Rhinolophus ferrumequinum: one gene and its partners. The protein of the gene in region 3 purifies or fractionates together with the protein of the main gene of each other region. This does not show direct contact. Links are inferred from orthologs where the notes say so. Each region holds a gene or a part of one and is shown on either strand. Other genes may lie near its edges. The genes, in order: PROSER2, CTTNBP2, STK25 and SLMAP.

What was found.
Region 1: the proteins of STK25 (region 3) and PROSER2 purify together in Homo sapiens (affinity purification with mass spectrometry; 3 studies listed by BioGRID and IntAct, counting the BioPlex papers as one, with this or other methods). This does not show direct contact. The link is inferred for Rhinolophus ferrumequinum from reciprocal best matches to the Homo sapiens genes STK25 and PROSER2.
Region 2: the proteins of STK25 (region 3) and CTTNBP2 purify together in Homo sapiens (affinity purification with mass spectrometry; 3 studies listed by BioGRID and IntAct, with this or other methods). This does not show direct contact. The link is inferred for Rhinolophus ferrumequinum from reciprocal best matches to the Homo sapiens genes STK25 and CTTNBP2.
Region 4: the proteins of STK25 (region 3) and SLMAP purify together in Homo sapiens (affinity purification with mass spectrometry; 5 studies listed by BioGRID and IntAct, with this or other methods). This does not show direct contact. The link is inferred for Rhinolophus ferrumequinum from reciprocal best matches to the Homo sapiens genes STK25 and SLMAP.

What each region holds. Positions count from the first base shown.
Region 1 is NW_022680355.1:16,669,120-16,676,776, forward strand, and holds the start of PROSER2 (proline and serine-rich protein 2), read left to right. Parts: upstream 1-4,640; 5' UTR 4,641-4,793; intron 4,794-7,657.
Region 2 is NC_046309.1:25,219,040-25,227,011, reverse strand, and holds the start of CTTNBP2 (cortactin-binding protein 2), read right to left. Parts: upstream 3,011-7,972; 5' UTR 2,945-3,010; coding exon 2,855-2,944; intron 1-2,854. UniProt on the Homo sapiens protein: Regulates the dendritic spine distribution of CTTN/cortactin in hippocampal neurons, and thus controls dendritic spinogenesis and dendritic spine maintenance.
Region 3 is NC_046291.1:253,317-260,268, reverse strand, and holds the start of STK25 (serine/threonine-protein kinase 25), read right to left. Parts: upstream 3,021-6,952; 5' UTR 2,857-3,020; exon of another isoform or gene 2,795-2,856; intron 2,378-2,794; 5' UTR 2,286-2,377; coding exon 2,256-2,285; intron 1-2,255. UniProt on the Homo sapiens protein: Oxidant stress-activated serine/threonine kinase that may play a role in the response to environmental stress.
Region 4 is NC_046300.1:52,495,226-52,502,662, reverse strand, and holds the start of SLMAP (sarcolemmal membrane-associated protein), read right to left. Parts: upstream 3,015-7,437; 5' UTR 2,979-3,014; coding exon 2,781-2,978; intron 1-2,780. UniProt on the Homo sapiens protein: Associates with the striatin-interacting phosphatase and kinase (STRIPAK) core complex, forming the extended (SIKE1:SLMAP)STRIPAK complex.

The DNA of each region.
Region 1 (7,657 bases), on a different chromosome or scaffold from region 3:
GAATAATATTGAATGTCAGCTATAACTTTATATATATATATATATATATATATATATATATATATATATATATATATATATATAGTCACGGATATGGAGTACAGCATAGGGATAGAGTCAGTGGAACTGTAACAGCTATACACGATGTCAGAGGGGTAGTAGATTGGGGGAGGAGGTTATCACTTTGTGAGAGGTGTAAATGTCTATTACATTGTTTTGTACACCTGAAACTAATAATAATAATTAAAAGAAAAAAGAATGAATGGATGCCATGCATCCTCTTTTTCTGTTTGGACCTCAGTCACTTGGCAGGTCCTAAAGCTTGCAGGAGCAGCACTTGTTCACCAAGGACCTTTTGGAGTCTTCTTTTTCAGAACTCTTATCGTTAAATTTTAGGAATAACTTATTTATGTTTTCTTCCATAATTGTTTATTCCACATGTTTCTCCTTCAAATACTGACGTGGAATATGGACACGGTAACACATCATCTACTTGCTTTCAGGAAGTATGGAACATTTCATTATTATCGTTTTATAGTTTTTCTCTAAACTCGTCCCCAAAAAACCTCCAGGTCATAATTTCCTCATCTGTAGAAGTAGAATAATTATTTCCTTTTTTTAAAATCAAGAAATTTCACTAATAAATCATCCTTGATGTGTATCATTCTCCTCTTCCTTCCATCATCTATCAAATATCTATTGAATGTTGAATATAAACCAGATTCTATGCTATGTACATTGGTATTTACTGTCTCATATAAAAAAATATTTATTAGTCTGCATTGATTTAGAAAAGTAACATAGAGTCACAACGGAAATTTGGAACATATACAATACTATAAATAAGAATCACATAATCAGAGCCAGAAACAGTAACTGTCATCCTTTTGATATATTTCCTTCTAGTTTGTCCATATATACATGCATTTTTAATAGCTGAAATTATAATTTACACACAATTTTGCAATTTTTTCCCCTCTTACCAATAATTTAGGTATTTGCTTGTGTTCATGAAAAATTCCTCGGTTTTAATAGCTGCATAAGAATTAATTTAAACTTCCCCTAATTTTGGATGTTTTGGCTGTTTCAAATTTTCTGACATTATAGAAAAGGAGACAGTGCATATCTTTATGTACAAATCTTTGTGCTCATTTCTGATTATTTCTATAGAATCCCTAGATGGAATTATAAGGATCAAAATATATAAACATTTTTAAGGCTCTTAAAATATTTCATAAAGTTGCTTTCCAATAGCTATATCAACTTATGTTCCCACTAATAATATATAAAATTGCCCATTTCACTGCATTTCTGCCAGTATTGAATATTACAATTTAAGAAAACATTTTCTAATTTAATAGGTGCAAATATTGTATTTTATTTTAAATTTTCATTTTTAAAATTATTTGGTAGTCCAAACACACACACACACACACACACACACACACACACACACACAGAGCTAACTACTAACCATTTTTATTTTCTTTTTGAGGAAATTTTTCCATTGAGTTATTAGTTTTCTTATCAATTTGTGTGTACTCTTGTATTGAGGATAAAATTAACTGTCAGATTTGTTATGCATAGTTTTGTGGGTTTTTTTTTTTCCTTTTCAAATTTTGTTCATATTATTTCTAGTTATCAGAATTTCAAATTTTTTTATGTAATCTAGTCTAACGGTCATTTCCTGTATGATTTTCCCATTTCGTTTCTTCCCCCATCTTAAGGTCACATATTTGCCTAAATTTTCTCCCAGTTATAAAATTCTTTAATACAGCTGAAATTTCCTTTAGCACATAATGAAAGGTAAGGCCTCAACTTGATTTTTTTCAAATTACTAGTTTACTAGTAAACTAGTTTACTAGTAAATTACTAGTTTTCTCAAGCCCATTTACTGAGAATCCATCCCTTTTTCATTTATTTTAGATGACTCTTTTACCACATATTAAAGTCTACACTGTATCAACATTATCTTTTTCTGGGTTATCTATTCCATTCTATTATCTACATCATTCAATATCTATTATTCTTCTATTCTCCTTTAAATTATTATAGCCTCACTTCAATAATAAACAGAGCAATTTACCAGATTTTTCTTCACTTTCATAATTTTATTAACTCTCCTCATCTGCTCTTTGTTCAGGTAAATGTTAAAATAACTCTGTTTTAGCCTCACAGGGTAGGTGTTAACAGCCTTGTTTTACAAATGAGGAACGGAGTCTCAAAAAGGATAAATAGCTCATGTTTATACATCTCCACCATGGAAGAGGCATAAAGCAAAATCAAGTCTTAACACTTTCCCTTGCAGCTTTAAAATGCTATCATTTTTTTGTAAAGAAAACTCATGAAATTTACTAACCATTCTTTCTCCTTTCCTGTCTGCCTCTCTCTAGTGGCCATGACAGATATTGCACTTTCTCAAATCACTTAAAACAGTACTGTAATAAATTGTATAAAATAAAAACATGTTTAGTTTAACTTTTAGTTTACTCTAAAATTTTAATCTTACACAAAGCTCATAAGAACAATTATCTAATTTGGGGGGTCATGCATTACCAGCATTTTCTTTTAGCAACAAGCAGCCCTCAGAAGACATTTATTTAAAAGTTGAGTGACTATAAAGTAAAATTTTATAAATTTCATGGGTTTTAAAGAAGTAACAATAGCATATACAAAGACCCTCCAGATGTTTCTTTGCTCCTTTTTCCCCTTGACATTCTCTAAGTACTTTCATGAATAACGATCTTTCAATTCCCCCCCTAAGTCCCACTTCATGTCCTTTCTTACCTCACTTCATGTCCTTATGCTCTTTTAGTCCCTTTGTGTATGTTCGATTAGCACAAAGGTGCCTAGACAGGGGTGCAGAGGGGACTGGAAGCCAACCTGTGCTCAGGTGGTCACGCTGGGCCCTAACTGGGTCTGTATCCGTCCAGAGGAAGAGCCACCTGTTTGTAATTCCCACAAAGAGCTGAGATGTGCTCGCGGGGGACGGGTCTCATCTCCTCTGCTGCCTCGTCGTCGTTGAAACCCCCAGTCTCTTCCCTGTTTCTTTCCCGCCCCCCTTGTTTGCCTTTTTCTTTTCCCCTTCTTCCTTTCTAATCTGATCATCCTTCAGTTTCTTATTTCTTCTTCAACTGTAAGAAAAGACACTGTGTAAAATTAAATTTTTACACAAAAGATAATGTGTAAATTAAAAATTTTAAGTAAACTAAAGAAATGAAGTTAAAATATGTTTATACGTCTGAAAGGTTAACAAAGCAAAAGGTACAATAAAAAGAAAAAATTCTGGGAATTTTTTGTCAAAATGTCTTTTTCTTTATCTGCATTCCTTTAGAAACAGGGGTTGCCTATATTACCTCTCACCTGCGGGTGTTTAATATTATTTAACCTTTACTAAGCCAATTAATGATAAATGCATTCGTATTTAACACAATATGGAACAAAATTTAGAGGGGAAAAAAAGAACGTAAACAAAAAGCTTAGGCCCTTTATTCATCAAGGATTAAGGACTGACAGAATTGATTCTCTCCTGGATTTGGTTCAGAAAGAGGGGGATAATCACACTTGCCTAATTAACTAGCACATTGGGTAGATTAAAGTGCTTTGCAAACATTAATTAAAGATGCAGGGAGTTAGACGAGGCCAATGTGTTATTAGAGAAAAAGTTTTCTCCCCTTTAATCAGGTATCTCTTCCTGGGGACGGCAAAGAAATGATCTCAGGACTGAGGAATTGGGGCTCAGCCCTGAGTGCTGCCAGTGAGTCAGCCATTCTGCACAACCAACCACTTCCTTCCCGAGTTTTCTGTAGAAGGGGGATAAGCCCGAACAGCAGTTTGGAACATAGGTGGTTATACTGTCTGCCATTTGGGTATATAGCAAACCCTACAATTAATAAAAGCCGTAACTCTTGCTTTCTCCCTTCCCAGAGTTGTTCCTTCCCACGGAAACACTAGTAACCTTAACTTCCACCACCTTACAAAGCGTTCCACACCAGCTATTACCTCAGTCGATTTTCCCAGTGATAGAGGCAAGGAGAAAAGAGCACCAAGCAATGGGGTGAAAACGCTGGACCGAGTTTCTTGGCCTCTTTGATCCTGTTTTCCTCAGATTCCTCCTCTGTAAGATGGGAGCAAGAAATCAGGGGAGAGTTGTGAGGATTAAATGAAATAATATGTGTATGTTAAATGCCTTGTCCAAAGGTAATAAGAATTCTATATATAGTAGTTATTATTGCCAGTAAATATAAAATAACCTCTCAAAGCTGACGGGGCGGGGGAGGGGGAATGTTGGGAGAGGATGTCCCGTTTCTTCAGAGCTTCAAACGCAAATCCCTATTACTTTTCTCCGCGTGTGTAACCCAAGAGATGGCGGGTGGGGTTTCACTCAGATGGTCCCCAATTCAAACATCACAAGGAGACCGAGGAGCCCTGCGAGAGGCAACCACGGGCAGCTCCCGCGCGGGGGCCTGTCTCTTTAAATGCGCCGGGCGCGCGCTTTGTGCGTTTCGGGGGCCGAGCCCTGGATGGTGGGCGCGCAGCAGGGAGGTGCAGCGCGCATGAGCGAGCGCGCGGTAGAGGAGCGCGCGGCGTGCCGGAGGGGCGCGCGGCTGTCGGGGAGCGCGCATAAGAGCGCGCACGGCAGGGGAGCGCGCGGCGGGAATGTGAACGCGCGGTGGGCCGGCCCGGGACTGTTGGCCAGGAGCGCTCCGGCTGATCGGCTGTCCCACGGCGCGAGGGCTCCGGGCGGCGGTCCGGGGGGCACCTGCAGTCCCTGGGAAGGGGGCTCCTGCCAGGTGAGTGCGGACTTTTCGATCGAGGGCAGGGTTAGAAGGGCGGGGTAAGTCCTGGCAGCCGGTCCCCTCGCCTGGCACGTCGGTGAGCTGGGCGGTGTTTGCAGTCTGATGAGGGAGGCAAAGTCGGGTGGGTTTCAGGTAGAGAAAGGTGTTCCCATTTTTTTGTGAGCTGCGCTTCCCACGCTTTTCTGCGGTGCCCTCCTTGCGTGGGTCTCTTTGCGAGCTCTCCCTCTCCTCCACATCGCTTGTCCCCGTCTCCTGGAAGTTAGGAAAGACTGGCGCAGTCTGAAGGACCGTGGTCACCCCGGTGACCTCACTCACGGGAAACCCGCTCCCTCCTGTGGGATTTCAGGGGTTCGCGTGCGCCGCGGTCGCGGGCAGTAGGGAGGACGCGGCGTCTTCCCGCTCCGAGGTTGTCCTGTTGGGGTGGGGGGGCGCACGGTGGTCCGTGGCACATGCTTCGCTTTGTGCGCAGAGCAGTCCCGGGTGTCCCCAACAGCCCTCCCGTTTCCGTCCCGGAGATGGGCGAGGGAGTCGTCGCCCCACTTGCCACAGCGGCCCTCGAACTCTCCGGGGCTGTCTGTCCCTTACGCGGCGGGAAGGAGGTAGTCAGAGCCACCTGTTCAACTGGTGCTGTGCACAGTGACCAGTAGATTTTCATCCCCACCTCGGCTCCCTAACCCCCGACCCCCGGCGGGTAACTGAATCAAGCAGACACGTGTAGGATCTGCTAGTGAGCCGGGGCGGGAGGGATTTTCAAAAGAGAAGAAAATGGGGCGATGTGATGCAATTTAACAAAAGGCAATAAAATAAACGCCAGTATTTCTCCAAGGCTTTGAAACTTTCCCAGTATTGTCTTACGGAGTCTAAATTTAAGCGTCTAGCTTTTTTTTTTTTTTTTTTTTTTTTTTTTTTTTTTTTTTTAAACCGCAAGAACTAACCTCAGAAAACTTAACTCTCTGCCAGGACCTAGTTGATGCAGAGCTGAAAACTTAAATTGAGTTAAGGAAAATGATTTTTTTGTGTCTTCTCCCCCACCAAAAAAAAAACCCAGAGTAAAACGTTCAGCTCTGTTGCTGGAGACTGGGGGAAGAAGGCTCCTTCTAGCTCCAATTTTAATGGAGAACAATTTCTTTTTAACCCGTATTTCTGAAAGGTAGAAAAACACTAAACCAGGTGTAAGTGTAAACGTCAGGATAATGCTCGCAGGAGTAACCTTTATTAAAGATACTTTTCTGCTTTATGTTTTTAAAAGCACTACATACTTCACGCTCGCTACAAAGTTTGCCCTCATAGTTCCATGTCTGAATGTTACAGATTGTTTTTCTAGGTGGGGGAGGTATTTTCCTTCATGAGGCCAATGTGGAAATACAAACAAATGCCCTATTTACTTGGGATTGGGTGGGAAAGGTGGAAGTTGTCTAAAATCTCTCTTGCCAAACTTGACAGCGTATGTATGGAATCTTGTGTATTTTCTTGCCCAGACCAGTAATAGCCATCTTCAAATGAGCTTTCCTTTGAAATTTTTGGATGCTGATAATTTAAAAGTAACATATTTTCTCCATTACTAGAGATCAGAAAGCCATAGTTAGAATGCTAATGTAGAAAAGGCTGGAAAGAGGAGAGATGCTTTTCAGAAAATCTGAGTATGTCTGACTCTGTGGTGGCCCCCTTTGTGGCAGAGGGGATGTGCCTATTTTCGGGCTGGCCCCAGGTGTTCATGAATTCATTCAGTGATATTTGTAGACGGTTGAACACCCACAATGAGCTGAGCACTGAGCTAGTCACTGCGCATACAAACATACCCAGATAACAGCCATATGGCCCAAACTGATTAAAACCAGATCAAGTAAGCCTTCCTCAGGAGCTGAAGATATACCTGGCCCTGGTTCCAAAGTTCTCAGACACCTAAGGAGCCTATAGTTGTCACCCTGTGTTGATTCTAAAGATCATCTCAAATAACTACAAGAGGTGGAGTGGAGCCTTGAAGCCTGAATCCAGAGAGGTGAAAGGCTTGGGTGGAGCAGAGAACAGGGGATCCTCTGGAACAAAAAGTTCAAGTGCATCTTATCTACATGGTTGTGGGACAGCCGCCAGTGGCATGGAGGCCATTCAGGGGAAGGTGCCAGAGAATCCTAGGAGCATCCTAGAACTTGAGCTCTTCCCTTTGCTGCTGAAGGGCAGCATTTCGTTTCAGTTTCCATTGCCCTTTCTGGTGGCAGTGGTGGCTTCCCCGCTGTGCTCTGCAGCTCTCCCTGTGATATCCTGCGGCATTCTCCTCTTAGACCTTTGACTGAGTCCAGGGGCTTTGTACTGAAAGCCACTGTTCGCTGACACAGTGGGGTCAATATAGTGGGAATACTGGTAACATCTGTAGAGAACCACCGTGAAGCTGCACCTGTCCATAACACCCTTATCCATCTGGTCCAGGAGTCACGGCATTAATCTTGAATCCTATTTTAAGAACGTGGGTCTGGATTTCTAATCCATGCAGCCAGGATTGGTGGTAAAGGAAAGTGTAGGGCAGAACATTCCGCCTTATTGGATCAGGATGTGATAGCTCTATGAATGCGTTATCTTCAGGCAGGATATTTGCAAAGATCCGACCACCGTGAAGACTTGATTCTCTCACTCTTTTTTAAATTGTAAAGTACGTATTAAATTTGTCATTTTAAAGTATACAAATCAGTGGTATTATTAAGTACTTTCACATTGTATGTGTTTGAGAAGAATGGGTTTTCCTTTTTCTTTTCTGTAGAGATATCCATTAAATGCACCTTATTAATTGCATTATTCCTCACTAACTTTGTCTACTTAACATATCAATAACAAATATATTGAAAGACCTCACTAATGGGGGATTT
Region 2 (7,972 bases), on a different chromosome or scaffold from region 3:
ATTTCAAAGTGCTAGCTGTTAATTTGACATTACTATTGCACATTCTTAACAAAATCATTGTTGAAGTTTTTTTCTTATCACTATCACTGCAACAAAATGTTTATCTCCTTTTTGCACAGTAGCTGCTCCAGAAAAGCTCAGACTGACAGGAATGTTGGTCAGCTTCTGAAACAAAGCTCTAAAAAGAGCTCCATTTTCCTTCAACTCTTAAATTCTTTGGTGAAATAAAAAACAGAAAGATTTCTGTTTTCCATACTGCTTATCCACCAGGAGCTATTTTCAGGCTACAAATAGCAACATAGCCTATAAAAGTCATCACATTTGGCCAAGGCGCTGAAAATAACCCAGGTCTCTCGGCATGGTTCACAGCAAAAACTATTAATATGATGCTGTCGAATAATGTAGCTGTTACCCAGCTTTACACTTGGGATGCTTTCAGAATTTAAACAGCTAAGAACAGAATCACAAACTAAATTTAAAACCTTCCACTGAAAATCAGATTAAGCTGATAACTATAAATTAAACTTGTCTCTAAGCAACAATCTAAATAGTCAAAACTTAGTGAAAACACTCACTTTCAAAAATAGCCTACTGCTTTGGCATTTCCATTGGCTCATTATTGCCAAATGTACACATAAAAATCCATAGTATGTAAACCAATTTGAAGTGAAATAAATCTCTAAAATGGAAAAAAAAAATTCACTAAAAACAAAAAGGATTTAAGTCCTCAGTTGCCACTAACCCAAAATGCATAAAAATGCCTTTGAATTTTAATCATTAGATAAGGAGCAGTTATGAAAAATATTCCTCAACCTAGCTTTTCTTCAATTTAAAAATGAGTCTATAGGACAAGTGGCTGATACGGGAGGACTATACCTTAACGAAAATTAAATGTTGAGTTCACTGCATAGAGGCCATCATCAAAATTTTACTAAAATGTCAAAAGTTATTTAAAAATTAAAAAAATATATATATATTAAATTAAGAATCCTCATTGCATCTCCTCGGAACCCTAAAGAATTCTATGGAAATAACAAACGAGTTCGCTTTCACAGATTCCCCAGGACTATTCCCACTAACCAGGGTGAAATGATCAAATCCCCACCTACACGCAGTCTGAAAATTGGACTCCTGGAAAATTTCAGCAGCAGAAAGGGAACACTGGGCTTGTTAACACACAAATCTGCCTGGCGTCCAAGATTCTGTTTACAATCTAACCAAATAAAACTATAGATCAGCTACAGACCATAAATCAGATGTTTTGGTTTGGTTTAATTGTCAGGTGATTAAAATACTGCGGGTGGTAGAAAGAAGCCAGTTCTAAGTAGATTAAATGAATCCAACCTTCCTGGGAAACAACACATACACCCCCGCACCCTTCTTTCCCCTCCTGTTACTGTCTCTCGGGGATGAAGGCACCCAGTCATTTCAACTTCCCAGAGAGGCGTGCTGTATTAATAGCAAGCTGCCTTCCAGTGCTTCACAGAGGGGGACTGACTCACTGCATCACAGGCAGGCAGGTTTCATTGGAAATCTTAAGATAAGTTCACATCTTCCAAGTAAAGAATGAAAAATCAATTTTACTAAAAGTTTCACATCAAAACTTGCCAGTTTCACATCAAAACTTGCCAGTTTCACAAGCGGGAAACCAGCTGCACTCCTCCTCCTCCTTTCCTTCTCTCCGTTTCTCTTTTCTTTCCCAGGCTCGGCTGCTCTCCCGCCCAAGCAGCTTCGTCCACATCTCTCCTCTCCGGCTCCAGTAAGCCCTTCCTCCAAACCGAGAGGGAGGAAGTTAAAGCAGCCCTGGCTGTTTACACCTGGCCCTGCCCTCTGCTGCTCCAGCACCAATTCTGCTCAGGTCACAGAAAGAACTGAGCAGCGTCCATACTCCTCTCACTCCATCCCACCCGGAATCTGGCGGGTGGGATCGCGCCATAGGTGGGAGGCGCTCCCAGAGCTGCCTTTCTTTGCAGATCCTCGCAGCTCCTGCAAAGCCGCTTCCCAAACCCGGAGAACGTTTTTACCCAGGAAATGTGGGTCCAGCCCTCCCCCACGGTAGGGGCTGGAAACCACCACTGAGACTGTGCAAGGGGATATTCTGGGGGTGAAAGTGGGGACCAGCGATGGTGGAAGCTCATACGATTTCTAGACCCCAGCGAAGGAGAACAATGTGTTGCTACCAGGTGCTGATCCTCCACCTCGCCCGGGCACCTACTTAGGAAGAACGAGGGCACCTTCCCCCGCGCCTCTTCCCCCACACACCAAGTGATGGGGCAGCGCCGCCAGCTAGAACCCAAAGACCCGGCGCTCAGCGCAGCACTGCCCACAGCGGGGCACGGCGCCTGGCCCGGGGGGCCTCAGGCACACGGACACACACACAATGGGCATCCCCACACCTGCTCGGCGATGACCCGCCTTCCCCTCGCTGCTCTCCTGGGTCCGCTGAGAGGTACCAGGCACCCCGGAGACACGCGCCCACAACCACGCGCGCGAGAGGCGAACAATGGGGGTTCAAGTTCGCCAGGAAACACACCCCAGCTTTCGCCCCTGGCCAAAGCCGACTGCAGCGAGGGAGGAGTGGGCCTGGGGGTCGCACCGGGCGCACGCAGGGAGCCCTGAGCACCCGGCAGACCCGGCCGCTTCCCGCCGGGCAGCAGCCCAGGGGGCTCGGAAAGGACAGGAGCGATCCCCAGCCCGGGGGGCCACCCCACCCCACAGGGACTGGCCTCTGGCGATGAAGGCACCCTGAGGAGGGGGCACCCGGGGAGGGGGCCGCCCGGACTGGTGGAGCGCCCCGGGACGCCGGACGTGACCCCGGCCCGCGTCTCCTCTGTCCCCGCGCCCATCCCTGGACCTCGGTTACCGCCGCCTCCGCCGAAGCCCCCGCCGCGTCCTCGGGGGCGCGGGAGAAGTCGGGCTCGCAGCTCGCGCCGTCCGTCGCCATCTTCCTGCTCTAGCGGATCCGAATGCGAGCTCGGAGCGGCGGCGCCGGGTTCAGCCCTCGCCGCGCGGGCGGCGCGTAACCCGCTGCGGGCCGGGGACGCGGACGCGCTCCCTCCGCCCCCTCCGCCCCTCGGCGCCGCTCCCGCCGCCTTAACCCGCTGCGCGCTGGGGCGCCCCCGCCCGGCGCCCGGCAGTCCCCCGGCTGATCGCTGCAGGTACGAGAAACGGGCGGACGCCCAGGCCCGGCTCTGGCCCCGCGCGCAGATGGGGAATCACAGCCCCCCGTTGCGGTGAAGGGAAGAAAGAGCCCAAAACGTGATTCGCCCGGCCCCTTCCCCAGCAAGCCAGCGGTGCACACGCCGAGCGGATGAAATGTCAGGCCTCCTGAATCTGAACTCTGTAGGATAAAGAAAATCCTTCACTTCAGTCCCGTCTAGCCCACCGCTAGGAATCACGGGAGGCACCCTGTTCTTTTTGCTTAAGTTTGTTTGTTTGTTGCAAGACTGCAGCCAGGGCGTCTTCACCTTCTTGGTGTTTTGTTTTGTTTTATTGTGTCGTTGCCTCTCATGTTTCTCCCCAAACCATCAACTCCCAAGTGAAAATGTGTCCTGCTACCCTTTTTACGTTGTGTCTGCTCCCTGGGCCCATATCTTTCTGCACAATCTTTTTCAAGAAAGGTGAAGCAGGGTCCCTCTTTAACCCTTCGAGTCTGAGATATTTTCTTAAGGGCTAACCAAGAAATGTTAAGTGCCATTACTTGTAGAAAGAGGCTCTCTACTTTTAAGAGAAATGGAAAGAATTACCCCCATGTGGTGAGGACATGCACACACAGCCCCCTCCGGCCCCCCCCCAAAAAAAAATTTTTCTTTAAAATTGATTTTATGGGAAGTACAAGTCTTAGAAGATATTTTGTGAGATGAGTAAGTTAGGCCCAAATTCTTAATTTTCCCTTCTCACATCTGATTCAGATCTTACCCTTTCCTGCCAATTTCCAGGATATGAAAATCTATCACCTTATCAGGACCATATGGTACAGGCCTTCCCAAATCACCAGATCCCAAAAATGTGTTGAAAGCACAAAATCAAATGGAAGCATTCAAACTGTGTCTCAAAGAAATAAAATCAAACAGCAACCAAATCCTGGACTCGAAATTCTGTAAGATGAATGACTAGGATGTTCAGTCCAAGGGTCACAGGTGAAAAGCGCTTTTGTTTTTTTAAATTGCAGACTCCTAATGAAAGGTTTTGACACTTTAATTGCTTCACTTTCCAAATTGGATCTAAATATGACACAAACGAGCGCAGAAAAAATATTTTCTGCAAAGGCTCTGAAAGGGCTCATCAATAAGTTGTAAAGTGTTCCCTTCCACAATGGGTCTACATCAAGAAAGAACTTTCACCTGGAACCCTGGGGTTAAGGGTCACAGGTTTAGAAAGTACCTCCTGGGAATTCTATAAGCAAGGTGCTCACTGATTTATTTTCTTGGACCTTACTGTGATAGCTACTCCCTCCTCCTCTTAGCCCTACGCTTTTTCTCCCTGTTCATTATACCACTTTCTTTTATCAACATTCTTTCTGAAATTGCTCGATATGATAATAACTAGATTCCTTATAAGATGAAAGAAAAGCATTTGACAGTAAAACTTAGATGCTGGACTGATAGTAAAATATTTAAAGTTGGAGCCAAAAGCATTCCTTGTTCTTTTCAAAATGTGCTTTCACACATCACAAGGCAATGAATTTTCTTGATACTGATACTTGATGTTGTGGTTGAATTGCTACCCAAGAAATTCATTCACTTCTGGTTGGGGGGTGCGGGAAGAATAAAATAATAAACTTCACTTGGGGGATAAGAATTAAGACTATGACATGACAATATTTCTGGGAAGCAAATGCCAATTACTTTATACATGCTGCTCAATTAAAAAAACATCATTGGGAAGAAATAGCTTCTATTAGTCTAAATACAATTAAAGCAGAAGCATGTCACAAAGGAAAAGGAATCAATTAATCAATCCCTGAGCAGTTTCTTCCCTCTCACTTCCTTTTTTTTTGGCAAAATGAAAACCAGGGGAAAAAACTCACAGGACAGTACATTTTTTTTAACTGCTAAAATCCAGGATGTAGGAAGGAAAATAAACAGCATTTTGTCTCTACCTTAAAGCTGCCACTGACCACTGCCCAGGGTGGAAGGAATGTCCCATCCTACTGCACAGAAGTAGAAGTAGCATCCTAGGAGTTCACTCTCTCACCACTGGGCTGGTCCCCTGGCTGCTTCTCTACCAGGAGACACTTGCTGGTTTAAATTCTCTCCTAAGAATTAGCCTCTCTTGAGATTGAGACTGCAAATTAACTCTTTCTGAAAGACTTTCTTTGTACAAAGACAGGCTCTAAGGTATTAGAGTCAAAACAAATAGATCTGAAAGGGTAGTGACTTGATGGCTCCAGAAATTAAATCTTTTAAAGCTTCATTAAACAGAAAAAGAAAGAGAAAGAAAGAAAGAAAGAAAGAAAGAAAGAAAGAAAGAAAGAAAGAAAGAAAGAAAGAAAGAAAGAAAGAAAGAAAGAAAAAGACATCCCAGGGCTAGAGTGAAAATTTCTGAAAGGCAGGGGAAAAGAAGAAAGTTGAAAGTATAAGCAGGAAGAAAAGAAATCCCTATAACAAAAATGAAAAATGATTTTTAATCAGTAAGTTGCTTTCAGCATTAAAATGAAAGAAGAGATGCTGAATCCATTGCAAGCAGAGAAAACTATTAGTGACATTGTCTTCTCTTTAACATAATGAAGTGAATGACCTGACAAATGAATTAAGACAAATTATTTCCTGACCTGGGGCATGGAAGTGTTTGTGCTCAGCTACCGCGCACACTGTTCAAGATTCTCTTTGAAGACCAATGAAATGGGTCGCTGCAGCTAGGAATGCAGATTGTGGTGGAGGAGCCAAGTGGTTTTCTGATTAAACCATGGGCTTGGCCACACCAGCCACATCTTCCAACCCACTAAACCAAAAACCCAGAGAGTTACATATAATGAAGCAAGGGATGCTTCCTCCCTTGTGAAAAGACAAAGGATATCCTAGAACAGTTTCCCTCAGATTATAAGAGAATTCTTTATTTCAGTTAAATGACATTATGTAAACTCCAAAGAGCAAACCATGCCTTATCATGTCTTAGTATTGCCAAATGACAAAATTACTGAGTAGCAAATCCTTTCGAGACTGTATCCACAAGGCTGTAGTTATACAATATAAATATTGCAGACCACGCTTATCCCTGTCTACACCGCAGCTGCCAACTTAGCTAGCCCCAAAGCTCGACGTCAGGAACTCTAACAGAGCGCAAATGAGCTTCAGGGCCCTGTTTCTATTTTTTTTTGAAACTAAGACATTGCCAGAAATGAGTCTTCATATGACCTAACTACATTCCCTCATAGTCAGCTTGTCATTATCTACGTGTACTTAGGCTCTTCGTACATTTTACTCAGTAAACTGAATCCTAGTTTAGTTAGCCACTCTTGTCAACAATTTATGGTTTTGGAAGGCCTTCTCCACTGCAGCTGGTCTGTGCCAAGGGAATGCAAGCTAATTTTACCTAAGCTAAAGCAAAACATAATTAGAAAATTAAGTCTGCTAGGTAGGAAGCAAGCCAAAGCTAAACTTATATATGTCATTATAATCACTTCCAGCCCCTTTTGACTCCACCTCTAGTTGGCAACTGCATGTGGTCATTCAATGCTAAAGTGGTGTCCAAATATAAGATGTTATTGACAAGTTAAAGGTACAGTAATGACATTATTCTCCAGACCAGTCACTCTAAGAAGAAAAACTGGGCTAATACATAGCAATAAAGCAGAGTTGGTTCTGTTCTATTAAATGTTTTGAAAATCCTAAACCATTGCTTGTCGATTTGGACTCTTATCTGCAGAAGTCATTTACGAAAGTAAGTTTTAGTGCAGAAGGATGGTTTAGTTCAAAACCCTCATGGAAAACCAATTTTAACAAAGGAATCTGGCCCTCTGCTGCCCCTCATCCACCTGAATTGGAAATGGACCTGAATGGTTTCGTGTATTCAACATATTTAGCAACCCCACAAGCCTATGTAGTTACTAGGCAACCACTAATGTAGGGGTGTTTATACCATTAGGCATTAATTATAGCAAGCTTTATTTTTCTTAGAAAGTTTTAAAACTATAGAAATAGGTTGTGACATCAGACCCTTTTCTCCTCTGGTTAAGAGTGTAGAGGTAGCTATAAAACCAAAGCTGAGATTTTCTTTTATCTATGGGTATGTATTGTTTGGTACAAAAGGAAACGTAGTGTTTGAAGAATTAATAAGGAAACTAAAGATGATGCCCTTCAATTTTAATAAATATGAGGATGTCATTTATGATGGTCTCAGTGATGATTTACTTATGATACAAAAAGCAGGAGAAAAGCCATAAATGTATACCTTTTCCATGTAAAACTGTGAAATAAACCAGTATATCAACATTTTCCAGACCGTCATAATCATAGCCATACACCCAGTTAATGCAGTTTCAAATATCTTTGGAATTTTTGAGACAAAAATTCCACCTTACACTATCCCAAATCTCACTTGATGACAATAGTTTTTTTGTCCACCACGCCATTTTTTGATGGGTTCAAATCAGTTGGGCTCACTTAAAAACACCTGGAAATGTGATGTTATTATTTGAAAAGAAATAATATAATATATACATATATCAGAAGTTATTCAATTGACTGACAAATAAAAAATAAAATTTAATTCATATTTATAAAACAATGTCATGGCTAGACTTGAAGGCTTAATTATATTTCTGATTCAAGAACTGAAAGGGGAAAGGAAGCTTGGGTGTTGTTACTTTCATTCTAGAGAAGGCAAAGTCACTTGTAGAATAATAAAGAAAAACAATTCTGACAAATCAACATTAAGGTTTAATGGAATGGAATGTTTCATTCTGGCAATTAAAGAAACATTTAACCACTGAAGTAGTTGTATGCTAGCAATGTAATATTTTTTCCTTATA
Region 3 (6,952 bases):
CCCCAAGCCGGTGGTGAGGTGTCCCCTTGCACCGCGGCTCAGCCTGTTAAGGGATGTGGCCAGCCCCACTGGAACCGGCAGCCCAGTACACGTGGAAGAGAAACAACCGCGAAGCTTGCAGCCAGCCTACTGCCAGGAAGACCCCAAAACCAAGGTCAAGGGAAAGCAGGCTTCAAATCACAGCTGCTCAGGTCTTCAGGTGTGACCTACCATACCGCTGACCACTGAGCGAGCAGCACAAAAAGGCTTTCCTGCCAGAGAGAAAACCTGCTCCACTGGCTTCCACGTGGGGACCTCGCCGGCCCCGCCCGGCCTTGGCCAGAGCCGATCTGGCCCCCCACAGCCGCCAAAGGAACCCCAGCCGGCCCGCTCAGACCTCCACTGCCTTGAGCAGAACACAGTGCACCCCCTAAGCCAGAGTCCAGGCTCCACAGAAGACAGGGCCCCGAGCCTCAGGTCTCAGCACCGCTGCGGATCAGTCAAGTGAGTAGACAGGGTGTGACAGGAACACTTCTGGCTAACACTGACCCTACAGGCGTATCACCGGCTGAAGGAACGACACGCAGCTCTCAGGTCTGGGGGCCCGGGAGCCCTTCTAGACCAGGCACGTGGTCTGGACAACACTCAAGTGGCTCAACTGGCTCTGGTGGTCAAGGCCCTTGTTCTCAAGTCAGCCCTGGCACTGCCAGATTTGGGGCTACCACCTGGCAGAATGTCTGCCATTAGTTTCACCCCACAAAACAAGAGCCAAGCTGTCCCCAACCAGCACACGACAGGTGACAGCTGGTAAGCACATGGTGCTTTCACACCCCCAGCCATTCGGCCCGTAGGCGGGGGTGACATCAGAGCAGGAGCACAGGCTGTGGGGGAGCTCGCCCGCTGCTCCACACAGGGACCACCCACGAGGCCACAGTGACAGCCGTCTGGAGAGAAAATGCAGTCCTATCAGGCCTCCTGCTGCGACAAAGGCTGAGTCTGTCCGCCCCTGAAAGGACAAGGGAGCGTCCTTCCTTTGGGGTCCCTTTCCCAGCTCCTCAGCACCCACGCCCCCTCCCCGGGTCTGAGTGGGCACCCAGGCCAAGCATCAAGCACCATCAGCACAGCGGTACAGGCGGCTCCCTGCTCCAATTCCTCTCTGGGACCCATGGAGGCCACTCCTACAGCTCTTAGAAAACAAGCTCCAGGCGGACTTTTCTCCCAGCACCTTGGCGTGTACCAGACACAAAATGTCAAGCATACACGCAAAGTCTGTTAGCATCATTCAGTGTCCGTCAGCAAACCCCGGTCCCATCTGTGGCCACTGCTGGTCCAGGACGCCCTGCCCAACAGCCCTGCCCAACAGCTGCGTGTGGCTTCCGGGCGCCTCCTCCCTGCGCACCATACGACCCAGCTTCCTGCTCCTCCTGCGGGCTGAGCTCCCGACTGTGTGCACGGGAGCCAGCGGTGGGACTCCTCTCTGTAAGAGGCCACCCCTCGCCTTACAGCAGTTGGCCTAAATCGCGTCAAGGGAACAACTAACAACGAGGACACAGGAAAACCTGGCCACCAGGCAGCCACATCAGCTCCAATCACACTTCCTTTAACAAAAAAGAGGGGAGGTCCAGACCACAAGCCTCCCAACTGCCCCCTACACACACCCTCCTTTCCAGGTGCCAGCAAACTCGGGGCACACTGCAGAGGGTCCCCCAGAGTCAGCCAGTGGAGTCAGACACCTCAAGGTGTCTGAATACCGGGGATTCTAGGGAGCAACCGACCGAAGGAGGGCGGTACCACCAGGTAAGTACTGCACCTCCCTCCATGGACACACTCACGCGCGTCCCCCACTCCTACAGGAGAGCGGCCCGCTCACCCTCCCAGCCCCCCTAACCGCCCACCAGCGAGGGGTCCCCCGGAGGCCCCGCCCCGGCCCGCGTGCGCCCGACCTGCGCGATCCCAGCAGACGGACGTGCGGACAGACCCGGGGTCCCGCCCCAGCCACGCCGCCGTCCCGACCGGGCCTCTGCACAGCCTCCACGGCCTCCCACTGCGCTGCTCTGACATGCCTGCGCGCTTCTGCACCCCACAACGCTGCAGCAGCCCCCCCGTCGGCCCTGAGCCCCAGCACGCCGGGCGCCTCGGGACCGCGCCCCCTCTTGCCCACAGGTGTGCGGCACGGGTTCCCACCCACACCCCTCCCGCGCCTGCAGGCACCGCTCTGCTCCCGGCGGCCCGGCGAGCGGACACACTGCCCGCTGTCACCCCGAAACAACCCTCACCTGGCTGGCGAACCCCCTGAGGTGAGCCATGTCCGCGCCGCGCTCAGAACATCCGCCGCCACCGCGGAGGCCCCTGGATTCCGCCTCGAGGCCCTGGCACCCGGCTCGCTCGCTTCAGCCAACTGGAGGGACAGCAGGCCGCTCGCTCAGCCGGTTCAGGGGGCGCGAGGCGGCCCCTCGTCCGACCATCGGGAACAGGCTCCGAAGGGGGCGGCGGGCTGGCGTCAGGAAGGCCCCGGAAACCCCCACGGCAGCCCTTCCCCGCCCGCCCGCCCGCCCGCCCGGGGCCCGCGACCCCCGAAGGGACCGCCGCCCTGAGCGCCCCCCGAAGCCCCGCCCACCTGGCCCCCGCCCGGCACCGGCGCTCAGACCCGCTGCCCCGCGCCAGCCAACGCTCCCGGTGCCCACCCCGCGCCGGGGCCCTCTCTGCCCTCAGCCCCGCACCTTCCCCTCACCCCGCTCGCCACCTCTCGGCACCCCCACCGCTCGGCCCCCTCCCCAACCGCCCCAGGCGCGGGCTCGCCCAGCAGCGCGCCCACCTCCGGGGTACTCCATCCCGGCCTCCCCCGGCCCGCTCCGCAGTGCCCGCGCAGGCTCCCACCCGCAGCCTCCGCTCGCCCGGGGGGACACCCGGACCCTCCAGCCCGCGAAGCAGCAGCAGCGGCGGCGGCGGCGACGGCCGGAGAAAGGCCGGCGGCGGCGACGGAGAGGGCGGTGCGCGGCGTCGTGGCCCAGCGCAGGGCTCTCAGGGACACCGAGTCCGGCCGCTCGTCCAGTGCCTGGGCGTCCGCCCGCGTTGGACTACAAGTCCCGGCAGGCCAGGGGCGGGGCGGAGTCGCGGCCCGCAGGCGCGCCGCGGGGCTCGCTGGGACTCCGAGTCCCGCTTCCTGAGAGGCTCTGGACTACGTCTCCCGGCAGGCCGCGGGGCGGGACCGGGTCCGGGAGGCGGGGCCACGCCGGCGCCCCGCTTTGGGGTTGGGGCCCGCTGGGCTCTATCTTGTCTCCTTTTTGCCTTCCTCTTCCTCCGCCCCATCTTCCCCGGCTCCACTCTCCATCCTCCCCGCCCTCCCAGTGCGCTATCCACTCCGCTTCCTCCTATTCGTCTCCCTCCGCCCCCCCCCTCCCCTAGAAAACTCTCCCCTCCACCTTGGAGGGCGTCCGCCCTTCTGCTGCTGCTTATCTGGCAGCACCCACAGGGTCCTGAGGGGAGGAAAGGACCAACACATGTGGTGCATACACACAGTGCAATATTATTCAGACTGAAAAAGGACTTTCTGACACCTGATGCCACATGCATAGGCCTGAGGGCATGTGAGCAGTGAAATAAGCCAGACACAGAAGTACAAACACTGTGTGATCCCCCTTGTGTGAAGTCCTGTCATGCGGGGCGGCCTGCGGGGTCTCAGCTCCCGCTCCCCACATAAGAACGCAGGACATGGTGAGGCCAAAAAGGAACACCCACGGAGCCATAGAGAGGGGAGTCATACCACTATATTCTCGCTGGCGGCTGGGTTGGAGACAGGAAGCAGGAGCCACACTATCTACAACCTGCCGTCCACTTCTCTGCAATCTGCAACCCGCACTCTGCCGTGCTAACTGCAGTCCGCGCTTGCCAGCCACCATCTTCTTGCTAGCCCCCATTTTCTGCTAGCGTAGCCACGGCGGTTATATTAGTGGCCAATGGGTCACTGGTTACAGCTGGCGGCCAACTAGCCACAGCTGATGGCCAGCCAATCACAGTTGATGGCCATTTACTACCTGAGCCAGCACCTTTCCATGTGAGGCCGAGAGCCTGGAAACTGCTTTCTGGGGCTCTGTCCCCACAAGTCCCTAGAGGAGTCAGATTCAGAGACGGAAGTCGATGGTGGTGCCAAGGCTGGGGAGCGGAGGGGAGTGAGTGTTTAGTAGGGACGCAGTGTCAGTTTGGGAAGACAAAGAGTTCTGGAGACAGAGGTAATGGTTGCAGAACAATGTAAACTGAGCTTAACAACGGAACTGTGCACTTAAGCATGCTTCACACACTCACTTTTATATGATGTGTGTTTTCCCACAATTATAAATAAAATGAAATAAAAAAGGAATTAAGTTCTGACACATGCTAAAACAGAAGAACCTAGAAAACAGCTAAGGGAAATAAGCATAAGAACTCTCCTGTAGCTGAGTTTCTCCTGTCACGAGACAAATGTTGTATGATTCTATTTATATGAGGTATCAAGAATAGGCCAATTCAAGAGACAAAGTAGAACAGAGATTTCCAGGGGCTGGGAGAGAGGGGAATGGGGATATATTACTTAGTGGGTACAGAATTTGTTTGGGGTGATTAAAAAAAAAAAGTCCTGGAAATAAATAGTGGTGACGTTTACACCACTTGTGAATTTTCTTAATGCCACTGAATTGTACACTTAAAAATGGTAAATTTTATATTGTGTGTATTTTACCACAAATAAAAGCAAAGATAAATTGAGCTTCATCAAAATTTTTACATTTTGCTTCCAGAAAGACACTATTAAGAAAATGATAGGGGTGGCTGGTTAGTTCAGTTGATTAGAGCGCGGTGCTAATCACACCAAGGTTGCGGGTTTGGTCCCTGCTGGGCCACTGTGAGCTGCGCCCTCCTTAAAAAAAAAAAAAAAAAAGAAAAGATGCTACAGACAGGGAGAGAGGAAAAATATATATATATTTATATATGTATTATATATATATGTATTATATATATATATCACATAATATATATATTGAGAGAGAGAAAGAGAATATATAAAGAGCTCTCAAAACTCATCAGTTAGAAAAGAACCCAATGGGGGTGGGTGAAAAAGAGGAAGGGATTAAGAAGTACAAATTGGTAGTTACAAAATAGTCCTGGGGATGTAAAGTACAGCATAGGGAATATAGTGAATCATATGGTAATAACTATGTATAGTGCCAGGTGGGTACTAGACTAGTCAGGGGGATCACGTCGTAAATTATATAAATGTCTAACCACTATGCTGTACACCTGAAACTAATATAAAATAATACTGAATGTCAACTCCGAAAAATTTAAAAAGGGGGGAAACATAAAGAAGAGTAAGATGTTCAAATTTCCAGATATAAAACAAATAAGTCATGGGGATATAATATACAGCATAGGAAATATAGTCAGTAATATTGTACAGTATATTACAGTATATACATAGTATAGTACAGTAAAATTGCGTGGTACAGTGTCAGATGGTTGCTGGACTGATGGTGATCACTTATTTAGCATATAATCAATAATATGGTAATCACTATGTATGTGCCAGGTGGGTACTGTTGAATAACTATGATGTACACCTGAAACTAAAACAATATTGTATGTCAGTTATATTTTAATAAAAACATTTGTTTAAAAAGAACCCAATAAGAAAACTTGAGAATAGACTTGGCACACCAAAGAGGATAGATGGGTGGCCGTCAGCAATGAACAGATGCTCAATGTCGTTAACTATCCGGGAAATGCAAATCGAACCATGACGAGACTCTAACTGCACACATATTAGAGTGGCTAAACTAAAAATACTGACACTAGCAAGTGTTGGCGAGGTTAGGGTGACCAACCATCCTAGTTTGTCCAGGAGTTTCCCACTTTGAACACCAAAAGTCCCATGTCCCAGGAAGCCCCTCTTCCCATCCTGGGCAAAGCAGATGGTTGGTCACTCAGGGTGAGGAGGCAGAGCCCAGAACTTTCATACGGTGTAACTGTGCAGCCGTTCTAAACAACAGCTTGGCGATTACTTAAAAAGTCAACTATATACCTAACACGTGAGCCAGCATGCCCACTCCTGGGTATTTACACCAAGTAAAGAAAACATATCTTCGTACAAAAGCCTATGCATAAATGTCTACAGCATGTCTAGTCAGCCGGACCCCAAGCTAGAAACAGCCCAGAGGTACCTTCCGCAGTGAGTGGATGAGCCGCGATCCATCCAGACATGGAATCGACTACTGAGAGACGTGTGACAGAAGGAGCCAGTCTCAAAGGATCACATAGCATGTGATTCCGTATAGGAGGCATTGTGGAAGAAACAACAGCCACAAGGGAGAAGTTGCCAGTAGTTCCCAGGGGTGGGGGGAGCAGCCTGCTCCCACAGAGGAGAGCAGTAGGGGGTTTCTGGGGGTGAGGGAACTGCTCTGTACCCTGACTGTGGAAGGGATGACACAAATCTATACCTGCATTAAAACTCAGAGAACTGTACACTAAAAAAGACAATTTCACTGTATGGTTTTCTAAAAGAAAAAAAAATTGTTTTCAAAGATTTTTTTGGTAAGGCGAACAGGACTTTATTGGGGAAGAGTGTGTATTTCCAGGACTGTTCATTGGGGAACAGTAGTGTGTTTTTCCCAGGACTCATCAGCTCCATCCAAGTCAAGTTGTTGTCCTTTCAATCTTAGTTGTGGAGGGTGCAGCTCAGCTCTAGGTCTAGTCGCCATTGTTAGTTGCAGGGGGCACAGCCCACCATTCATTGGATGGGAATCGAACCGGCAACCTTGTGGTTGAGAGCCCGCGCTCCAACCAACTGAGCCATCCGGGAGCTCAGCGGCAGCTCATTGACTTCATTCTAGTTGCTGAGGGCGCAGCTCACTGGCCCGTGTGGGAATCGAACCAGCAGCCCTGTTGCCCAGAGGTCGCGCTCTGACCAACTGAGCCACCTGTCCACCCGAAAACTTTTTTTTTT
Region 4 (7,437 bases), on a different chromosome or scaffold from region 3:
ATGAACTTAGCATGAAAAAGTGTCACCTGGATTTCCATGTGCCCACACTTTGCAAATTTTCTACAACGAATATGTATTACTTGAATAATCAAAAACTTTCAAGTGTTTATTATTTCCTCCAGATTTTAATGGGTCTCTCTTAATGGCCAACGCTGAATGCAACAGACACAAGTTGAAAGTCAACCGAAGAGCATATTACCCCAACTTTCTATCTCCCAGGTAAAGTGCCAATTTGGACAAAGTTCTCAACTTCGTATGTTTCAATTTAAAAATTACTTCTACATATGCCATCACCTAGAGGAAAAAAATTCGCATTATCTTCCTAAGACTCCACAGCATTATAGCAAATGGCAGAGCGTCCTAGATAGTTGCCTCTTCCCCCAAACCCAAACACTCTCCTCCCTAAGTAGTGAGCCCTATTTAATAAGGCCAGGAAAAGGGTGCTAAATTACTTACATGGTTATCTCAATCCTCGAAACAAAAGTAGGTACTCTTATTATCCCAAGAGAAAACTGAGGTTTATTGATGTTTGGGGGGGAAAATAACTTGCACGAGCAGACGCTTATATGAGGGGATTCTTGTGCTGTATAAAGAACTTTACTGGGAATAGATGGGGGACTTTTGTTGGGACAATTATAGCAGAAATCTTCAAACTGGATATTTCACAGAGAAAACAATAAATGACATCTGGTCAAATTGTAGGTTTTCTTTGGAACTAATGATATCTGGCACATAACAGATGTTTAGTAAAAATCTGTGCTCAAATTTAAATTTTAAGTAGTTAATTCCTAAAACACTTTGAGCACATGGCAAAATCTGACAGGTTATTTGTTTTAACTAGATTGGAGGTACAATAACCAATAATTACATCTACACCTAAAGTAATGGCCTCACATCCTGAGTGTGTTTTAGCTAATAAAGCAGGGGAGGAAAAATGGCAGGAAGAAGTTGTGTATCCTTTAAATATAAGTTTGTCTAATAACAAATTCCATTTAAAATTTTAACATGTCATCAAAATGACAGCAACACTATTAATCTATTATTCTTAGTCATCTCAAAATAACCTATTGTGGGGGTTTTAGTATAGCCATGAAAGGCACTGTTCATGTAATCACTGTTTTTCAAATAAGTAAAAGAAAAAAATCTGAGTCTCCTTTCAGTATTTAATCAAACTAAAGAATGTACATTTGCAGAGTATGTACTTTAAGCAAACCTATTATCTGATTAAGTTGGACCTTAATTGTTGCCCAGGGACACAGAGACAAAAATGTAAAAGCTGGTTAAAGCACTAGCAGTTAAATGATGTTTGAATCTGATTGCTGGAAAGATGGGTTTTATGAATATTCACTTTAAGTTATTATCGGTAATCTATAAGGTCTTTCAGGCACCCAAACTTTAGCTTCCAGGGAGGAAAGAAAGGGTCTGTTTCACAGGTAAATGAGCATCTGGTGTTATATAGAAAAATTAACATCCTTTTCAGTTCTCATGCTACACAGAGTAGGGTATAGGTATTATGCAAGCACACAGCACTTGGGCAATCTTTTCCCACTTTCTTTGAAAAATGTATATAATAATTCCTTAATTCAGCAACAACACAGTATTACTTTCTTCCTTTCAGGTTTCTTTCATTTCAAAATACTATTCTTGAAGACTTAAATTCTTCTTTTAAGAAAGACTTAATCATTTAACTCAAAAAGAGGGAGCAAAAAGTCAGGAGGTGAAATCCGAGATATTCTTATTCATCTTACATAACTTACTCTACGTTGGAATTGATTCAGTAGCTCAACTAAAACCCAAGGTTTAAGCAAAGATGAGATCAGTATATTCTTCACACACATAAAGAGTTTTAAAAAGTGAAAGGGTCTTAATGTAATTTTTTCCCTTGTATTCTTAAAATATAAGCACCCGCGTGTATGGGAAAAATAGGGTGCCAACATGTAAAAGTTAAAATGGTCACATTTAAAGTGAAGGGCACTAAATTCATCCTATGGCATCTAGGTAATGCAACCATTGATAGAACTGGATATAATTTCAGAAAATAAGTTAATTTCTAACACTGCTTGTGAAATATCACCTCTGGAAGAATGCATTCAGTATTTTTAAATAAGTGCTGCCGGGAACATCAAAAAGTGATTTACAAAAACAATAGATATATGTTCCCTCGACTTGCAAACAAAACTCTAAAAATGTAGTTATAATTATTCCTGCCTAACTAAATTGCCTTTGATAATTGCAAATTACTCCCTTCATGGGCATATATGTATCAAATCTTTCAAAAACTAACTTTACACAAACTATTGTCCTTACTAGACAGGCCCTGATCTGAACTCAACTAAGAGCTATGTGTATACTACATCCCACCGCTGAGACACTTGAGCCCCAGTGTAATAATGGCCACAGATTCCCTGCATTGCTTTGGGAACTGCTGCTTGCTTAACCAAGCACTGAACTACAAATTCACCTTTCTAAAAAGACTGCAAGTAAGAAGCCAAGCTTCACTATCTAGTTTTCTGAAACGAATTAGGGTTTGGGATTTCACTGGGAATGACCACTTATCAAGATGCCATCGCCCTCCCTAGGCATTTAATTACAATACCTTCTCTGTTTTCCATTCAACCACCTCAATTAAATTTCCACTAGAACCAGAAATACAAAAAGTTGATTCTGGGGCCTTGCTGAAAGTCTCCTCTGGGTGCAAACCCTGGGATCCCGCATACATTATAACGAAAGGACAAAGAGAAACAAAAAGTAATGATTGTTAGACAATGTGGTGACATTACCTTGCCCGTCTTGTGATCAAACCAGACGAGAGCATGGTTCCTTGACAGCACCTTGCAATCAAAGGTAGCATTATTTTGCGCGGGTCGACAGCGGGCCACTGAGCGGCCGATTTTAATGGGCTCGTCCAGGTAGACATGACGCTCCTGAAACGGGTGAGAGTTCGGACGGCAAGTGAAGATGGCCAAGGCTGACGGCATCGAGGACAGACGGGGGGTGTCTCTCCTTCAAGGGATAAAGAGGAGTTCCACCGGATCCGGACTGCCCTTCGCAAGCCTCTCCCCCTATCCCCCCCAAAATTTTAAATTAAAACAAACTGCGCATTGTCTAAGCATAACCAGTGAACATCAACAACTCTTCTCTTGAGTAGGAAGACAAGCCAGCGCAAGCCCCATCACCTCTTCTAACAGCCAGCGCACAAAAAGTCCCCAACTGGCAGCTTTTAGTCCATCTTCTTCCTCGGCAAGAAAAGCCTCAAACATCGGACAGCTTCAGCCAAGAAAACTCCTGGAACACAGTTTGGGGACTGGAGGTATCCAAGCAGATGAGTCACACACCAATTCTTGTGTTTTGTTTGGGATCGCGGCCGCTTTTCCCCCCTCGGTGGCGGAAACGTTGCAGCACTGCAGCATGAAGGAAGGGTCGGTTTGATGCGGCCAGGAAGGTCCTTTCGGGGCGAAGGAAGGTGTAGCCGAGCACCTCTGGGTAGCCACCGCCCGTCCTCAAGGGCCTCGGAAGTGGATGGGCGAGAGGGCGGCGAGGGGTCTAGACCGCCAGCGGGACAGTCTGCATTGCCCCTGACGCGCGAAGGCCGCCGGGAGGTGGCACGGGGACCCCGGCCGGCACGAGCCGAGGGGGCGGTGAATGGGGTCCTTGGCACAAGGAGCAGGGACCCGCGGGGGCGCGGGCAGCGGCCAAGTGGGGACTCCCAGGCACCTGGCGGGCGTCCCCCGCGACCAGGGCGGGGATCCGGCTCCGCAGGCCGGTGCGGACAGAGCGAGGCGCGACCCCGGGGGTCTCCGCTAGCAGGAAGTTGGTCCCTGGACGCCTGGACTCCTGGCTGCTGCTCAACACACCGGCCGCCTCCTTTCAGGGTCGCCCCCGCGAGGGTCGCATCCCAGGGACCGCAGCCGCAGCTCCCGGAGGACGAGGAGGTGGGGGAGGGAGGCTGGCCCGGAGGTTGGGGGAGAGGCCTGGAGGCCCCGGGCTGAGTCCGCCCGCAGCCTCCACCACTCTCGGCGGGTGGGACACGCTCAGGCTATGCCAGACGAGGCAGGAAACTTTCCGACCTGGTAGGGAAACATCAAAACAAACGGCCGTCAGGCGCCGGTGCCCGCCCGCCTCAGCTTTCGCGCTCCTCAACCCGACCCCCACCAAACCCCCACGACTGGCTGCAACCTCGGCCGACCTCTCCGCGGACGGGCTGCGGGGATTTGAAGGCCGGACGCCACGACAAGTCTAGCTTCCCTCACCGCCGCCGCCGCCTCAGCTTACCTTGCCAGCGCCGGCCGCCATAGTGACTCTGACTGAAACCTACCGGGTGCACAGCCACGGGAACGCGCACCCTTCAAGGGCCCTCCTATTCCCTCTCCCGCGCCGTAGTCCGGGGATGTCACGTGATCGACGCTGCCGAAGCCATGCTTGTCAGGGGCAGGAAAGAGGGCAAGCTAATTTTCAACTAGTCTCCGGAAGCCATCTTAGTTAAGGGCCGAACGCTTCAAACCATGGGACAGCCTCTACGGTCATTTTGGTTAAGGGCAAGAAGGACTTTGACTCGTTGCAGGTTTATAAACAAAACATGCCAACTTCCTACTTTATCATCTTAGTAATACGGTACGAACTTTTATTACATTTTATTTACTACCGTCCTCGTTGAAAATAACAACGAGGAAGGAGAACAGAGCCATCCAAAGGAGACGATATTAGCAGCCATTTTAACTGTGGGCAATAGTTTTCCCACAGCTCCCTTAGGAGTGAGCAATCAAATTCCCACAAATCCTAGGATTTGTGCGTCTGAAAGGAGAGAGGCCAACCTCATTCTGCGAAAGTCTTCGCTGTGTAGCTTGCCCGGAGGAAAACTCTTTCTTAGTCCCTGCTTTCTATTTCCAATGACCGGTCTTTCCACTGTACCTATCATGTCTTCCAGAGCTCCAACGCAGATTCTATCCCTGAAAGAGTGTGACTTCAGAAAGTTTAAAATCACGTTGCTTCCTCAAAAAGGTCCAACAATTTTCAATATGAAAAAAGGGGGTATTGCCCCCACCCATAGTAACAGGGCAGATGAAGAGTCATTGGTTTCAGGAAGAAAAGACTGCAAAATCTTAAAGATAAGTTCAAGAAAAGATGGTGGAAATGAATCTTATTTAGAATCAATGGTGGCTCCATCCGATTCCTTTGACAACAGACTTTACTACTGTGTGACCTTGGGCACGTTTCTAAACCTTTTCAAACCTGGTTTTCTTATCTATAACATGGAGATAATACATAACGCACCTGTTACTGCGAGAATTCAAGGTGATAATTCGTGTTGCTCATTAAAGAGTACCTATTATTCATTTCAATACTTGTATATACTGTTTTGGCCCCGTCCTAAATTCTGCTGAGCTCTGGGGACACATAGGTGAACAAAACCTGGACACCTGGTGTTGTGGGTTAGGGATGGGGGTAGGGAGATGACAAACACAGATGCAGAAAAATTTCACTTTGATGTAATCAGGACTAAAAGAGGCAAGCATTGGGTGCTAAAAGGACCAGGGATCGCCTTCTAGGAGAGGTAACTGAACTGAATGAAGGAAGTTTGGAAAACCACAATAAATATGAAATTTGCTGAACTCCTTTATACATTTCCAGGAATAGAGAATACCAGAAAAGGAACAATATTTGATACATGAATAAAATTACATACTGTTATTCATTATTATAGGATAAAATAGGAGTGCCACAAAGTGAGTCTGGAGAGAAGAATATGCACTAGATTGTAAAGAACTGGTATACTTTTCTAATTCAGCAAATATGTATTGAACTAGTACTGTGTTCAATATATTTTATTCTAGAGAAAAATAAGAATATGTTGAAAAATTTTAATATAAGAGGATGAAAAACTTTCATTTCGGGTAGCTTTTAGGCTTATGTGAAATAAAGTAATTAATATAGGCCCTTCTACAAATCCCTAATGAGCTCTGTATATCAACTTGTAAGTCATTTATAAATTCTTTCATTCATGCATTCATTCATTCTATAAATATTGAATTGAATGCCTATTGGACAAAAGATATTTTGAAGGTCCTGGAAATACAACCATGAAAGAAAGAAAGACTCCCTTGAGTTGCTCACAATTTGGGTGATGACACAATAAAACCTTTACCGTAATAAATATATCAAGATTAATGGGAGCATGGTAGAATAGTTTCAACTGAGACTTGAAAAATGAGTAAAGAGTAGGCCAGCTAGTCTGGTAGTCGTGTGATAACAAAATTTAGGCCAAGAAAACATAAACAAGGACCCAGGTACTTAAGATAACAGGACTTTAAGGGAATTACAGGTAAGTCTGTATTACTGGAGCAATGAGGGTTGGGGGTTAAGGAGAGGGGCACAAAAGTGTGGTTTCAATTACTGAAGGACTTGGAGGCAACCCAATGGACTTCAGAACATTTTCATCTTTCTCCTAGAAGGTCAAAGTAGAGTAATGAAAATCAAGTTTTCAGAATTAGACATTGCATCACCATTTACCAGCATTGTAAATGATAAATTATTTAGCTTCTCTAAGCCTCATATTCCTCATTTGAGAAAAGGAGATAATGCCTCCCAGAGTCTTATTAGGGTTAAATAAGATAATGCAAGACAAAGTATCTACCATGATGCCTAGGAAATTCAAAGAATGTTAGTTTTTATTATTATTACTAATAGTCAGAATTCCTCTAGCCTTCCACATACAGTAAGGAGCAAGTTGTATTATTCCTAGTTTGTATATGGAAAACTTGTTCATAAATGTGGAAACAAAAAACATGTCTTCATGTTCAGTGATATTACAATATCTCTTAATATTAATGTTAAACAAAGAGGATAGGCTATTTTTCTGCAAAAAAAAGCTGGGATTGCTATAACCTGGAAGGATAAAGAATCCTACCAAGCTATGCAGGGTGCTGGAAATGCCAAAATGGCACCAAAGGTATTCTTCACCCACTGGTATTCAGTGGGCACAGAAAAGGCTTAAATTAAGAAATCTCATACAGGCAATATGTAGAATTCGAAGCCATGATTCTGTATCCATTCAATATTTTGATGATTCTCTATGATTCTGTATCCATTCAATATTTTAATTAAATAAAAAACATTATGTTTTGGGAAATTTGGAATGGTAGTATTTCCCAATATTGTAGCTTTCTCTCCCTTTTTTTATTTTTACCTTTTGAATAGACTGATAGCAATCACCACTGCTATGAACCATGCTACTTTTCAATCTTAGAAAACCAAAGAGATAATTGCAACATTGTTATCCTGCTACCAGGAAAGACAGGCGATTATTAGCATCTCAGATGTGTAGGAGACAACTCTGTAAACTCACTTACAATGCAACCTTCCCTAAATGATAATGATCTAGTTAGACTTTAACCAATGACATAAGATATAATGGATTATAGAATACTTGCATAACTGCTT